Notamacropus eugenii: one gene and its partner. The protein of the gene in region 2 binds, or shares a complex with, the protein of the main gene of each other region. Links are inferred from orthologs where the notes say so. Each region holds a gene or a part of one and is shown on either strand. Other genes may lie near its edges. The genes, in order: WASHC3 and WASHC1.

Region 1 (7,162 bases), about 82 Mb from region 2:
AAATGTTTTTGTATATAAAAAAGTAGCAAGTTTCTGTCAGGAATTCTTTTCTCCTACTTGTACTAGGATTTCCCCATTGCAGCTTCTTCATCCACCCCAGAATGGTAGATTTTACTGTTCCCACCCACCACAGAAAGCCTGGCCACTGCTTAAAAATATCCAAAACTCTAAACTAGCAGAAGGAAGAAACAAAATCATGTAAAATGTCTAGAAAATTACAAATAACAAGAATCAAATTCAGGTGAATTGGAGGTCAGAACAAATGAGTACTGGCCCTGATGCCAGAATCACTTTTCCAACAAAAAAATTCACCCTCATTTCTCTGCCACTCTAAGAACAAACACCAAACAACCTACCTCTTCACAAACCGTAGAAAAGCGGTTGAGGAATTGTACAGTATGAACCACAAACTGGTTTAGAAATGCAACAGTCCTTTTCTGTTGAATTGCTGGCACCTGCATTAAGTAAAAACACAACATAATTAACATACAAACACAAAATAATTCGAGCAGGAGAAAGGGCTTCTAGGCTCAAAACGGTTCAGTACTTTGTGTGAGATTCAGAGCACTGCCAGGAACACTCATTTTGGAGTCAGAGGGCCTGGGTTCCAGTTTGGGCTTTGCAACTCACTACCTGTGTCATTTTGGGCCAGGAACTACCCCTCTTGGGGTCTCAGTTTCCTTATGTATAAAATGAGGAGGCTGGAACAGATTACTTCTTAGATCCTTTCCTACAAATCCTAGGAGAGCTATCTTTAAGCACTAAAGGGTTAATAAAGGGAAAAAGAATTCTCCTTTCTTGGCCTAGCTTATGGAACCAAACTAGGCGCAAAGAGTAAAGACAGATCTTGGATCAATACAAGATGCTCCCTAACAATTAAAGACAGTTCAGAGCCAGGAAGCATCTCATCCAAGGGCACAAAGAAATGAAAAGGCCAGACTTTGAGCCCTGAACCCAGGATTTCTTCCACTACACCATGCAGCTCTATGGCAAAGTCTGAAGTTGACCGAGAGACACAAGATTCAGAGTACGGAGAATCTGCATTGAAAAAAAAAATATTTTTTTTTAATGAGAAAATTAAAATGGATTATGAGGTGAGACAGGTCTAAGTAGTGAATACTTATCTCTGCAACCTGCAGAAATGGGGAATTCTGGGAAAGAATTACTCTTCTAGGAGCCATTCAAAGATAGACAGGATGACCTCTTTTTATAACCCATTCAGGAGTTTGATTATTTGTAATTTAAGGTGTTGGCTTGGGATCAATGACACTTGGTGACATTTTAGTGCCCAGAAAAGATCCTCAATTTGGAATTAAGAGGATCTGGGTTTCAATCAATCAATAAACATTTATTAAGTACCTATTATGTGCCAGGCTATGCTAAGTAATGGGGTTACAAAAGGAGGCAAAAGTCAGTCGCTGTCCTCCAGGAATTTATAAACTAAAGCGGGGAACAAAAACATGCAGAGCAAGTTACCTACAGGATAAATAGGAATGAAGAGGAATAATAAATAATGGTGCCTGGTAGAAAAACCTAGAATGAAAGAGGGAGAACGTTCCTGGAATGGGGAACAGCCAAAGAAAATGTCTGGAGGGGAGAGGTGGAGGGTCTTGTTTGAGCCTGGAGGCTTAGTTCTGTGGTTGCGTAAGCTTGGGTTAGTCACTTTTCCGGACTCAGTTTCCACCTATGTTAAAGGAGAGGGTTGAATTAAACATCAGAATTAATGAAAAACAATCAGAAAAAATGGCCAAGGAACACAATCTTCTCAAACACCTAGGCTTTAAGCAGGAAGGACCACGCCACTTAGCAACCAACTAACAAGTAAAGAAAATCCTCCAGCGTATTCAGTGCCTCCCTCCAGGCCTGTCCCAAGCTCTGGGGCCATGTCTGGGAGGCTGGCCGGTGGAACCCAGCTGTGTGCCTCCCACTGACCAGGGAATAAAACAAAACAGCTTCTTGCGTTCTGAAGGAGGAGAAGGGCAGAGGAAGGAAGGGTGTGGTTCCACCACCACCATGTGGCCCAAGTGGTCGCTGGTCCCTGGCAGGACACAGACCTGGAGTCCAAGGGCCTGGATGCGCATCTCCTCTGTCTGTGACCTCAGGCGTGCCACTAAACACTGCACAGAAGGGAGGCACGGGCCAGCTGTGCTCCTCTGCCTTTCAGTCTAGGAGCTGTGACTCCTGGTCACACAAGGAGCACAGGGCGGGGGTCAGAAGGCCAGCTCGGGTGGGACGTCAGCAAGTCACTTGCGTTTTCTGTAGGATTCAGTTTTCTTATTGGACTGGATGGCCCCCTCTAAGGTTCCTTCTGGATGACAGATGGGGAAACCGAGGCACAGAAAGATTCTCAGGATCGTGGATCTAGAGCCGGGCCCTCGGAGCCTGACCCCCTCATTTTACAGATGGGGAAACCGAGGCACAGAAAAATTCTCAGGATCACGGATCTAGAGCTGGGACCTTGGAGTCTGACCCCCCCATTTTACAGATGGGGAAACTGAGGCAGGATCCCAGGATCACGGATCTAGAGCCGGGCCCTCGGAGCCTGACCCCCTCATTTTACAGATGGGGAAACCGAGGCACAGAAAAATTCTCAGGATCACGGATCTAGAGCTGGGACCTTGGAGTCTGACCCCCCATTTTACAGATGGGGAAACTGAGGCAGGATCCCAGGATCACGGATCTAGAGCCGGGCCCTCGGAGCCTGACCCCCTCATTTTACAGATGGGGAAACCGAGGCACAGAAAAATTCTCAGGATCACGGATCTAGAGCTGGGACCTTGGAGTCTGACCCCCCATTTTACAGATGGGGAAACTGAGGCAGGATCCCAGGATCACGGATCTAGAGCCGGGCCCTCGGAGCCTGACCCCCTCATTTTACAGATGGGGCAAGGGCGATTCAGAGAGCAGAAGTGACTTGCCTACGGTCACGCGGACTCCAAGTGTTCTCTCTGGGCCTCAGTTTCCTCCTCCGTCAAGCTAGAGGAAGGGTCTCCGTGACCCCGGGAGCCCCGGAAGCGACCCTCCTCCCCTACCAACCTTGGTCAGGTCTATGCCCGACCCCATCAGAGGCAGCCCGTCCTCGTCCATGGCCCCGGCGAGCGGGCCCCAAGCCCCCTGCTTTCCCAGCCCGGACAACGGGAGCGGGTCCCGACTGGCAGCCTCAGTCTGAGGTACCACGGCCCTTTCCCCCCGGAAGTGGACTCAGCTAACAGCCGAGGTGTCTGCGCTTGCGGAGAAGACCAACTGAGCCCCGCTCGCAAGGCCCTTTGGGAGTCGTAGTTTTGTTCCAGAGCCTCCCATTGGCTCTGAGTCTGCGGAAGAAACCAACCTCCCCTGGTCCCTTCCGCACAGCCTTCTGGGAATTGTAGTTTTTCCTCTACTCTCCTACTGGGAAAGTTGATGGCGCATGCTCAAGAACAGTTCTCGGAAAGAGAGCTGCAGTCAAACTTGGATACAACTAAAGTCAGTCTCAGAGCTAGAAAGAGAGATCACGTGGCCAGGTAAGCACGTGTGAATTTAGGATCAGAGCTGAGAGGTGGCCGCAGGTGGCCAGGTGACGACGCCTGTACTTAGGGGCTTGACTCTAGAGCTGAGAAGTGACCAGGTAGCCACACTTAGTCCTGGGCTGACAGCTGGCTCCAGGTAACCATGTGACCGCACACATTTTTAGACTCAACTCCAAACCTAAGAGGTGGCCAGGTAACCACACCTGTACTTAGGGGCTTGACTCTAGAGCTGAGAAGTGACCAGGTAGCCACACCTGCATTTAGGATCATGCCTCCAGAGTAGGGAAGGAGTTCAGGTGGCCAGGTAACCACACCTGTACTTAGGGGCTTGACTCTAGAGCTGAGAAGTGACCAGGTAGCCACACCTGCATTTAGGATCATGCCTCCAGAGTAGGGAAGGAGTTCAGGTGGCCAGGTAACCACACCTGTACTTAGGGGCTTGACTCCAGAGGTGGGAGGGAGCTTAGGTAGCTAGTTTTCCATATCTCAGGTCCACTGACCATGTAGTCAGCCATACCTGTGTATAAAGTCATGGCTCCAGAGCTGAGTAACCCCAAAGGCAATCTAGTTCAAATTCCATTACATTACCATAGAGAAAACTGAGGCCCAGGGAGATTGCCTAATATATGGATTCATAGTGGACTGATATTTAATTGGAGTTAGTTATTATTCAGAGCACAGTTGATCTGTGCTCTGAATAATGGAAACTGCTGGTGCTAGATCTTTGTAGCTTTGAGAATAGAAGTGATAACTACTCTGCACGGGTTTCTGAATGCAATTAATGTGTATTGTTGTTAGTTACATCTGACTGTTTGAGCTATTTGGGGTTTTCTTGGCAAAGATACTAGGAGGTTTGCCATTTCCTTCTCACCCTCATTTTACAGGTGAGTAACTGAGGCAGACAGGGTTAAGTGATTTGACCAGGGTCACAGAGCTGGTCAGTGTCTGAGACAGGATTTGAACTCATGAGATGAGTCTTCCTGATTCCAAGCCCAGCACTCTATTCTGTGCCATCTAGCTGCCCATGTAACTAGTGTGATTGGGTGTGAAGGTGGCAAGAGACATCCCTTTTCTCTGGGATATGAAACAACATTTCAGTACTAGAAGTATCCAGAGGGCCCTTGCTTAAACTCCCCCTTGAATGAACATCAGCCTGTTCGTAGGAAAACTGGGTTCAAGGGAAAAAAGAAAGTTAAGTGGAATTATTAAGGCCATGAGCAAACTTCAGCATCTCTGATCCACAGACTGTGTGAAGCCTATTATGAAGGGTTTTTCAGAAGTACAATCCAAGGCCATGCTGGGCATAGTGACACAGAGCTAGGCTGTCTCCTTAGGGCAACTGAATGGCAAAGTGGATGGAGAAGGGGAGACCTGAGTTTTGATTCTGCCATAGCCACATTTTTGTGGTGTGATCCTGGGCAAGGCAATTACTCTCAGCCTCAGTTTCCTAATCTGTAAAATGTGAGTAATGGTGCCATTTGTTTTATAGGATTGTTGTGAGGCCTTGTAAGTTGTCATGTGCTCTCTAAAACTATAAAGACAAGAACAGCACACATGATGGTTCTTTTATCTTTTGATGAATTCAGATGACTAAACACTATAGTGATGAATATGTTCCCATCACAGTATATATGTTTTTATATGACGTGAAGTTGACACTATTGCATAGGTAGATTTCAAAGCAGTCACCAGGGAAATTGCCCAAAGCCTTTTGGTCAGTGACCAAAGGACAGCTGGAAACTGTGATTCCCGTGATTGCTTGTACCACAGTGTAAATGTATTTTTTGCCTCCCACAAAGAAGGGGTAAGATGATTGCACCACTAACCTCTCCCCTGTCTGGAGAAGACGATGTACCATTTCAGACCAGAGACTGGATCCTTTGGTAGAGCGTCTACCATCTCTACCATCTAGTTGTGATGAGTTTCTTTTTGGAAAGAACCATGAAAGATCAAACTGGTGTAGAACCAAGTGCCCCTACATACAGAGGAGGGCCTGCTATCATGTGTTCTACGGTCAGCTTTTCTAAAAGGAAAGGCAACTTTTGAGAGGTCAACAATGACTTTATTTATTTAATTTATTTTTTTTCCTTCTTTCTTTCTTTATTTATTTAACTTTTAACATTCATTTTCACAAAATTTTGGGTTCCAAATTTTCTCCCCTTTTGTCCCCTCCCCCCACCCCAAAACACCGAGCATTCTAATTGCCCGTCTGCCAATCTGCCCTCTCTTTTATCATCCCTCTCTGCCCTTGTCTCTATCCTATACCCCTTTACCTGTATTTCTTATTTCCTAGTGGCAAGAACAGTACTCGACAGTTGTTCCTAAAACTTTGAGTTCCAACTTCTCTTCCTCCCTCCCTCCCCACCCTTTCCCTTTGGAAGGCAAGCAATTCAATATAGGCCAAATCTGTGTAGTTTTGCAAATGACTTCCATAATAAGAACTAACTATATTTCCCTCCATCCTATCCTGTCCCCCATTACTTCTGTTCTCTCTTTTGATCCTGTCCCTCCCCATGAGTGTTGACCTCAAATTGCTCCCTCCTCCCCATGTCTTCCCTTCCATCATCCCCCCCACCCTGCTTATCCCCTTATCCCCCACTTTCCTGTATTGTAAGATAGGTTTTCATACCAAAATGAGTGTGCATTTTATTCCTTCCTTTAGTGGAATGTGATGAGAGTAAACTTCATGTTTTTCTCTCACCTCCCCTCTTTATCCCTCCACTAATAAGTCTTTTGCTTGCCTCTTTTATGAGAGATAATTTGCCCCATTCCGTTTCTCCCTTTCTCCTCCCAATATATTTCTCTCTCACTGCTTGATTTCATTTTTTTAAGATATGATCCCATCCTCTTCCATTCACTCTGTGCACTCTGTCTCTATGTGTGTGTGCGTGTGCGTGTGCATGTGTGTGTGTAATCCCACCCAGTACCCAGATACTGAATAGTTTCAAGAGTTACAAATATTGTCTTTCCATGTAGGAATGTAAACAGTTCAACTTTAGTAAAGTCCCTTATGACTTCTCTTTGCTATTTACTTTTTCATGCTTCTTTTCATTCTTGTGTTTGAAAGTCAAATTTTCTTTTCAACTCTGGTCTTTTCATCAAGAATGCTTGAAAGTCCTCTATTTCATTGAAAGACCAATTTTCCCCTGAAGTATTATACTCAGGTTTGCTGGGTAGGTGATTCTTGGTTTTAGTCCTAGTTCCTTTGACTTCTGGAATATCCTATTCCATGCCCTTCGATCCTTTAATGTAGAAGCTGCTAGATCTTGTGTTATCCTGATTGTATTTCCACAATACTTGAATTGTTTCTTTCTAGATGCTTGCAATATTTTCTCCTTGACCTGGGAACTCTGGAATTTGGTCACAATGTTCCTAGGAGTTTCTCTTTTTGGATCTCTTTCAGGCAGTGATCTGTGGATTCCTTGAATACTTATTTTGTCCTTTGGTTCTAGAATCTCAGGGCAGTTTTCCTTGATAATTTCATGAAAGATGATGTCTAGGCTCTTTTTTTGATCATGGCTTTCAGGTAGGCCCATAATTTTTAAATTGTCTGTCCTGGATCTCTTTTCCAGGTCAGTTGTTTTTCCAATGAGATATTTCACATTATCTTCCATTTTTTCATTCTTTTGGTTTTGTTTTGTGATTTCTTGGTTTCT
Region 2 (7,764 bases):
ACAACTTACCACCTCTTGGGGTTTCACTTCCCTCACTTGTAAACTGAGAAGGTTTGGACTAGATAGACTCTAAGGTCCTTATAGTTCTCCCCAGCTATGATCACAGTGTCTCCCCTGACAATGCAAGTTTAACTTTAGTCTGTGTATCCCCAATGCCCAGCACAAAGAAGGTGCTTAATAAATGCTTGTTGGCTGACTGACTAGAGAAGAACAAATGTCCTAATTTTTGAGACAGGGAACAGAGTCTGCAAACTGCGGGGCTGTGAACTTGACTCCAATTCAGGGAAAAATTCTAAAATTGATTACTAAAGAGATGGACGGTGAACACACTGACCTTATTTTCCTTCCTGAAAGAGTAACTAAGCTAATGGTTCAGGAAATACTGTAGACATAATCTGCCCAGATTTTAAGCAAATCATTTGATAACACATCATGCTGTTCTTATGGAAAAGATGAGCGATATGGGCTAGATGCAATTACAGTGACTCAGAACTGGTTGAATGGCAATGGTTCGATGTCAGCTTGGTAGCTTATCTCCAGTGACGTGCCCCAGGGACCTATGCTTGTCCCTGTACTGCTGGACATTTTTATCAATGACAAAGAAAGGCGCAGGTGGCATGCTTGTCAAATTTTCATATGACACAAGGCTCAGGAAGATAGCTAATATATTGAATGCCAAAGTTTGGATTCAAAAGGATCTTTCCAGGTTAGAATATTGAGCTTCATCTAATAATATGAAATTTGACAGATAAACAGAAAGCCTTACACTTAGGTTAAAACCCCTACCCACCCCAACTTCAAAAGTATAAGATAAAGGAACCGTGGTCGGACAGTAGTTTTTCTGAAAAAGATTTGTGAGTTTTAGTGGACCTCAATCTCATTATCCAATCAGTTGTCAAACATATCTCATATCCATCCCCTTAGCCTAGTTTAGGTCCTCATCACCTCTTACCTGGATACACAACAGCCTCCTATTGTCTTCCTGACTTCAAGCCATCCCCATCCTCCACACAGCTGCCAAAGTAATTCCTTAGGCACAGACAGCTATGACCTTATCATCCCCTGCTCAAGAAACTCAGCACTCCCTCTTGCCTCTGTGACTAAATACAGGCTCCTGTTTGGCGTTTAAAACCTTTTACATCCTGACTCTAGCCTACTTTCTCAGGCTTATGGCACATTACTTTTATCACACACTCTACAGTCCTGCCTAACCGGCCTACTTATTGTTCTCCATATGGACTATCTGATCTCCTATCTCTATGCCTTTACAGAGGTTTTCTCTCATGCCTGGAATATACTCTCTCCACACCTTTGTCTTATAGAGTCTTTCCCTTTCTTCAAGGGTTCCTTCAAGTACCCTTGTTCTGATACCCCCAGGTTTTTTTTAAATCAGGTGGTGAGCAAAGCTTTCCTTTGAAACCTCTCCCTCCCAGGTTCTAGCGTCCTCCCCTCCTTGGGGAAATGAGTTTCCTTGGTATGTGCCTGTGTCCACTGTGCCCTGAGCCATGCCCACCTGCTGAAGATGTCACCAGAGACCTCACGGAGGTACTGTAAGGCATCTGCCACCTGCTGGATGGCCTCTTCTCTTCGGAGATCGGGCTGGATCAAGGGCACGGAGTAGGCCTGGCCCTCTGGGTAGTGTGTCTGCGTCATGGTGCTCATGGTGCCTGCGGGAGAGGGGCAAAGTCAGACGTGCCCAGCGCCTCGGAAGTCCCTGGCCGCGTACGCACCTGTGGGAGGAGGGCAAACGCGGTGGATCTGATACCTTTCTTGCACAGCGGAGGAGTGTGGGGGTACTGTGGGTTAGGGGGTGCTGCAGAGAGGGAGAGGCTGGAGAGGAGGTGGACCGAGGAGTGAAAAGGGGGGAGGAATGGGGCTGGAGCACACAAGAGAAAGCCCGAGCGGGGAAGGCTGTGGGGAGAGAACGGAGGGGCAGGTGGAAGGAGAGGGCAGCCCCATGCTCCTGGGACTTCACCGCGCTTGACCTTTGGCTGCCGGAATCAAAGCCGAGCCCCTGGCAGACTAACCAGGTGCGGTTCAGGTGGCTCAGGTGGCCCAGGTGACCCAGGCCGGCACAGCAAAGTAGGCCGAGTGCAGGCCCGGGTGGAGGTGGAGGTGGAGGAGGGGGCGAGGAGAAGCACGAGCCAACTGCCAGGCGACGGCAGAGTCTATTTATACTTGGCTTAATGAAGTCGGCTCCCTGGGGCCACGGAAGCGCCGTCACCCCGCAGACGGTGCGGGTGTGATGGGCCAGACAAGTGCCGGGCGGAATACTAAGGCGAGAGCCCCTATAAATAGGACTAATCACGGCCCTGGCCCCGAAAGGGGCGAGGAGGACACCGGCAGCCCGGCGCCAGGCCCCGCGGCCCCTAGTCTGCGACGCAGGGGGGCTGGGATGGGAGATGGCAATCAGGGGGGCCTGCCTCGGGGTGACCATGCCGGGTGACCCCGCGGGGCCCCTACCCCACACTGCGGAAGGAACGAGGCGGGAGGGGGCCGGTAAAAGTGCAAGAGGCTGCCTGGGCTCGGGCCCCTCCAAGCCCCCACTCCTCCACCGAGCAGGGCCTGCGGACGCGGAAGCCTGGGCTCCCCACCCCCAGCCGCCCCCTAGCCTCGTTCTGCCTCCCGCCCCGCCCCCCCGGGGGCTTAAAGCTCCAGCCGCAAGAGGGTAGAAGGGGGGTGGGGGTCCCCACAGCACATTACGTCACTAGAGCCGGACCAGTAGGGGCACTCCCAACCGGCGAGTTCCAAGGTAGGGGTGGGGTTGGCCGTCTGAGGACACCGTAGTCTCAGGCCTGGCAGGATCACAGTGAACGTGCCGCGACAGGGTGGGGGGGAGGTGTTTGCGGGGTCACGTGAAAGCCGGGACGGCGCGTGGGGCGGGCTTCCGGGAGCGGGGGCGGTGGGGGATCCCTGATAGGACGGCCCCTCCCCGCCTCCTCAGGGCCCAGCTCTCGGCCCCTCCGGCCTGTCCCTGCTTTGGGGGACCGGAGGAGTCGCTGCGTACTCCGACCTCTCGCGTGCTTCTCTCCCCACGCAGAAATCTTCTTCCCGCCCCCGGGCCTCTGACCCATTCAACCGCCCCTGCCCCCCCCAGCTTGGCCCAGGCGCGCGGCCTCTCCTCTGCACCTGGACGCCCCGGGCCTGGGCCAGCCGCCCGGCGGGAGCCTGACGTCCTTCGTTTCCGCCTCCCTCCTCCTCCCTCAGCTGCCGGGTCCTAGCGCCCGGCTGTCGCTCCCCGAGTGAGCCTGGGAGCCTCCCTCCCCGCGAGCCGGACTCCTGAGCAGCCCCGGGGCCTCACGAGTCTCTGTCGCCCTCTTCCTCCTCCTTTCCCGCGTCCAATCGTCTCCCTACCCTGGTATCCGTCCTGCCTTCGATGACTGCCCCTTCCCCGGCTCCCCCTGCTCAACCCCCGGGGCCACCGGCCCGAGGCAGCCCTTCGTGGGGAGCCCCCGGAGCAAGAACGGCCAAAGAAACTAGCGACCCCCAGCCTCCTTAAGTCACAGATCTGAGGGTAGGAAGCCCCCCACCATGGTATAACGGGCTGGTCAGGCGGCCGTCCGTGGACCCGCTCTGACACGCCACCTTAAGTTAGAATAGCTGATCGGGGGAATCCCGGATCCCCGGGGTGTGTCCCGACCGGCCGCCCGAGGTCAGTCCGCGGGCCTGCGGGCACGCGCTGCCTGCTGCCCCGGCCCTTAACGCTTGTGTACCTTAGACGCTTCGGGCCGTTGGGTGACGCCGACAGACCCCTCCCCGAATGCCCCCATGTGACGCGGCCGGGGACGCCGGTGTAGACAGGCTGAGCGCCCGGGCCCGGAGCCCGGAGCGGGGCGGGGCCCTCCTGCTCCATCCGCGGGGCAACCCCGGGTTAACCGAGGAGAAGTGATTGTAAGGAAGCCACAGAGTCCTCGGTTAAGAACCCCTTGTCTGCTGTGCCGGGAACCAGCCGTGACAGAGCACAAGCCCCCGAGGCGCCGGCTGCCGGCTAGGGTCCTGGGGTCTCTAGGAAGCTGAGGCTGAAGAGGGGGCCTCCCAGGACCCCTGGGGTTGGAGATGGGAGGCCTCCGGGTGAGCCACGTGCCAGGCCTGCGAAGTTCCGGGGGTTCAAAAACGGGCAAAGAACAGCCCCAAAGTCCAGAGGGAGAAACAAATGCAAGCAACTACGCAAATGTATATTCCTGCAAGGTTACTGAAATGTATTTATGGAAGATAAATTGGAGATAGCCTAATAGGGCTGGCTCTAAGATAAAGGAGCGCTGGGAAGGGTGGGACTTGGAGATGTGACAAAACCAGGGAGCCCAGGAGCCAGAGGGGAGCGGAGAAAGTGCCAGATGTGGGGGCACTCAGAGGGAATTCATAGAGTTGGCACAGGTTGGAGGAGGGTTACAGGGTACCTGGTGGGGGCGGGGCCGTGGGGGAGCAAGGTGTAAGAAGAATGGGAAAGTAGGAAGAGACCAGGACGTAAGAGGCGTAAGGGGACATATGATTCTCATATTAATCGACATGATGTGTCATGAATATACTGATCGTTTGGGTTTCTCAGAGCTCCCATTTTCCTAGCAGATTCCGGCTTGCTAGTCAAGAGACTCATGATGCAGCTTAAAGCTGTCAGTGACGCTGATGCTTTCCACACGGTTATCCTTGTGTACTTTAAGTGAATTGAATCACAGACTGTAAACTCTGTTCCTGTCACAGAACTCTGGTTCTGAGCCCCTCCAGGTAATGAGAACCTCCAACATTTGAGATAAGAACTGTTCTCACAGGGCTGGAGAGCACCTGTATTGTCCCGCATTTGGGAATTTACCATGGAAAACTGCGCAGGACCTAGAAATGATTGTGTTGTAATCCTCCTTCCTCTCTTCCGCCCCAATTGTGGTCTACATATAAAATTTTTTCCTGTACCACATCACACCTACCAGATTGTCTAACATGACAAAACAGGAAGATGATAATTGTTGGAGAAGATGTGGGAGAGTTGGAACACTCATTCATTGTTGGTGGAGCTGTGAGCTGATCCATCCATTCTGCAGAGCAATCTGGAACTATGCCAGAAGTACCACAAAAATGTGTATATCCTTTGACCCAGCAATATCGCTTCTAGGACAGTATCCCCAGGTCCCACATGTACAAAAATATTTATAGCAGCTCTCTTTGTGGTGGCCAAAAACTGGAAATCAAGGGGATGCCCATCAACTGGGGAATGGCTGAATAAATTATGGTATATGAATGTAATGGAATACTATTGTGCTATAAGAAATGATGAACAGGAAGACTTCAGAGAGGCCTGGAAAGATTTATATGAACTGATACTGAGTGAAAAGAGCAGAACCAGGAGAACTTTATACACAACAACAACCACAGCGTGCAAGGATATTTTCTGGTAGACTTAGAACTTCATTGCAATGCAAGGACTTAAAAAATTTCCAATCAATTCTTGAGGTAAAATGTCTTCCACATCCAGAGAAAGAACTATGGAATTGCATTGGAGAATGAAGCACACCAGTTTCTTTTGTATTATGTTTTGTTTTGTTTTATGATTTCTCCCATTCATTTTAATTCTTCTATGCAACATGACTAAGGTGAAAATGTATTTAATAGGAATGTTTGTGTAGAACCTGTATAAAATTGTATGCCCTCTCAGGGAGGGAGTGAAGAAGGAGAGGGAGGGAGGGAAAAAATATAAGATATATGGAAGTGATTGTAGAACTCTGAAAACAAAATAATTTTAAAAATTAATTAAAAAATAAAAAGTTGAAAATTTTTTTTTCCTATATTCTAGCATGAAGAGCTCGCCTACCATCTACTTGACTGCTACTTGATTGCTGGCATGTGTATCTCCAATTTGCTCTGTTTCTCATTCTGCCATTCCCAGGTTAGAGACTGGTACAGTAAAATTCTGTTAACATAGTCTTTAAAAGCCAAACAGAATTTCATTTTTGATCCTGGAGGGGATTTGAAGTAAGAGGATCTAAGTTTGAATCTTGCTTCTATTACTACTTCTATGACCTTGGGCATATCACTTAATCTCTACAGGTCTCATTTTCCTTATAAATTTTATAAAACACCTCATTATAAAATAAGATGATTGAACTAGATCTTGAAGTGTTCCCCTCCCCCTCTTAGCTCCAAACCCTATGATCTCATAAAGAAAGCACTGATTTCTAAGCGCAGAGCACTTCAAGAACTTCTCTTAGCCCCAAGCCTTGTACCTGGCTCCCCTCTTCACAATACCCCCATAGCATGGGGATACACTTCATACAATATACATTCTTGGGGCTGTGCCTTTCCTAGTTGCTAAGGCCTGTGTCATCATTATCAAAACCCACTTTTCAACAAGTAGGTAAAAACCTTCTTCCTGGAATTTCACATATTTTGTTTTGCAGCTCTCTAATAAATGCCAGCAGTTGTTTTTTGGTAATAGTGATGGTATGAAATTATGGACTATTATTGTACTTGCATTGACCTGGGGTACCCTTTTCCCTACTTTTCCCCTCAGTACTCTCTTCTCCCAGAATGGCATCTAGAATACCTAAATCCCATTTGTGTGGAAGCCAGGAAAGCAGGGCAGTGGGATTAATCTCTAGAATGGATTAACTCAGGCTCTGTTTGCTCCCAAGCAACAATGCCCTGGGAAGAAGGAAAACTATAGGAATGGACAGCATCAGAATGGTAGACAAGGACAGATGAGCTGCTTAACACAGAAAAAAGACTGAAGCATAGGGTAAAGGAAAGGGGGGTGAGGGTGACATGGAGAACCTGGAGATTCTAGGGAGGGGGTCTTGTTCACAGAGGAGTAATAGTTCACATTTGGGTAGTATTTTACAGTTTATAAAGTGCTTTCTTCACAAGAACCCAGTTAGGGGTAATGCAAATGTTTTTATCTCTTTTATGGATGAAGAGGAAACATGCTCAGAGAGAATTTTTTTCTCTAATATATAATTTATTTATTTTTCAGTTCTTAGTATTCGCTTCCATAAGAATTTGAATTCAAAATTTTCTCCCCATCTCTCCCTACCCTCCACCCCAGGACAGCATGCACCCTATCCACTCCTTCCTCTAGTCTGTCTCCCTTCTACTACTCACCCTGCTCTTCCATCCCCCTTTCCCTCTATTTTCCTGTAGGGTAAAATAGATTGCTACACTCCATTGCCTGTATAGCTTAATTTCCACTTGCATGCTAAAACAATTTTTAACATTCATTCTTAAAGCTTTGAGTTCCATATTCTCTCCCTCCCTCCCCTCCCACATTGAGAAAATAAGTAATTCATTATACGTCATACATGTGTAACAATGCAAAGCACTTCCATAATAGTTATGTTGAAAAAGACTAACCACATTTCTCTCTGTCTGATCCTATCCTTCATTTATTCCATTCTCTCCCTTAACCTGTCCTCCCACAATAGTGTTTGCTTCTGATTATCTTTTTCCCCAATATGCTGTCCCTTTTATTACCTTCCCTCTCCTATCCCCTTCCCCCTTGCCTTCTTTTAAATAAAATATCTTTTCACCAAGAAAAGAACTTTCTATAATCTTATTTTTTCCCCTTTTTTGGGCATTTTCCCAGCCAATTACTTGTCTTTTGAATCCTTTGTCAAGTGGAGGGTATACTCTAGGGACCTGTAAGTTCTCAGTTCCTCCAAGGTGGCACAATCAAAGGAGAGGAATTTACTCTTCTCCTGACCTACACTGTGGTCTGGGAGCAACAAGCGCTCTTTTCTGCCCTGGACTTGCAAGTAGGATTCCCTCTCCAGAGCCTCTATC

The links.
Region 1: WASHC1 (region 2) and WASHC3 share a complex: the UniProt entries of both Homo sapiens proteins name them as parts of the WASH core complex. The link is inferred for Notamacropus eugenii from reciprocal best matches to the Homo sapiens genes WASHC1 and WASHC3.

What each region holds. Positions count from the first base shown.
Region 1 is NC_092874.1:284,999,361-285,006,522, forward strand, and holds the start of WASHC3 (WASH complex subunit 3), read right to left. Parts: upstream 3,253-7,162; 5' UTR 3,088-3,252; coding exon 3,037-3,087; intron 2,458-3,036; exon of another isoform or gene 2,082-2,457; coding exon of another isoform or gene 2,055-2,081; intron 456-2,054; coding exon 357-455; intron 1-356. UniProt on the Homo sapiens protein: Acts as a component of the WASH core complex that functions as a nucleation-promoting factor (NPF) at the surface of endosomes, where it recruits and activates the Arp2/3 complex to induce actin polymerization, playing a key role in the fission of tubules that serve as transport intermediates during endosome sorting.
Region 2 is NC_092874.1:203,308,381-203,316,144, forward strand, and holds the start of WASHC1 (WASH complex subunit 1), read right to left. Parts: upstream 3,142-7,764; 5' UTR 3,075-3,141; coding exon 3,008-3,074; exon of another isoform or gene 2,704-3,007; intron 2,621-2,703; exon of another isoform or gene 1,986-2,620; intron 1,731-1,985; exon of another isoform or gene 1,668-1,730; coding exon 1,514-1,667; intron 1-1,513. UniProt on the Homo sapiens protein: Acts as a component of the WASH core complex that functions as a nucleation-promoting factor (NPF) at the surface of endosomes, where it recruits and activates the Arp2/3 complex to induce actin polymerization, playing a key role in the fission of tubules that serve as transport intermediates during endosome sorting.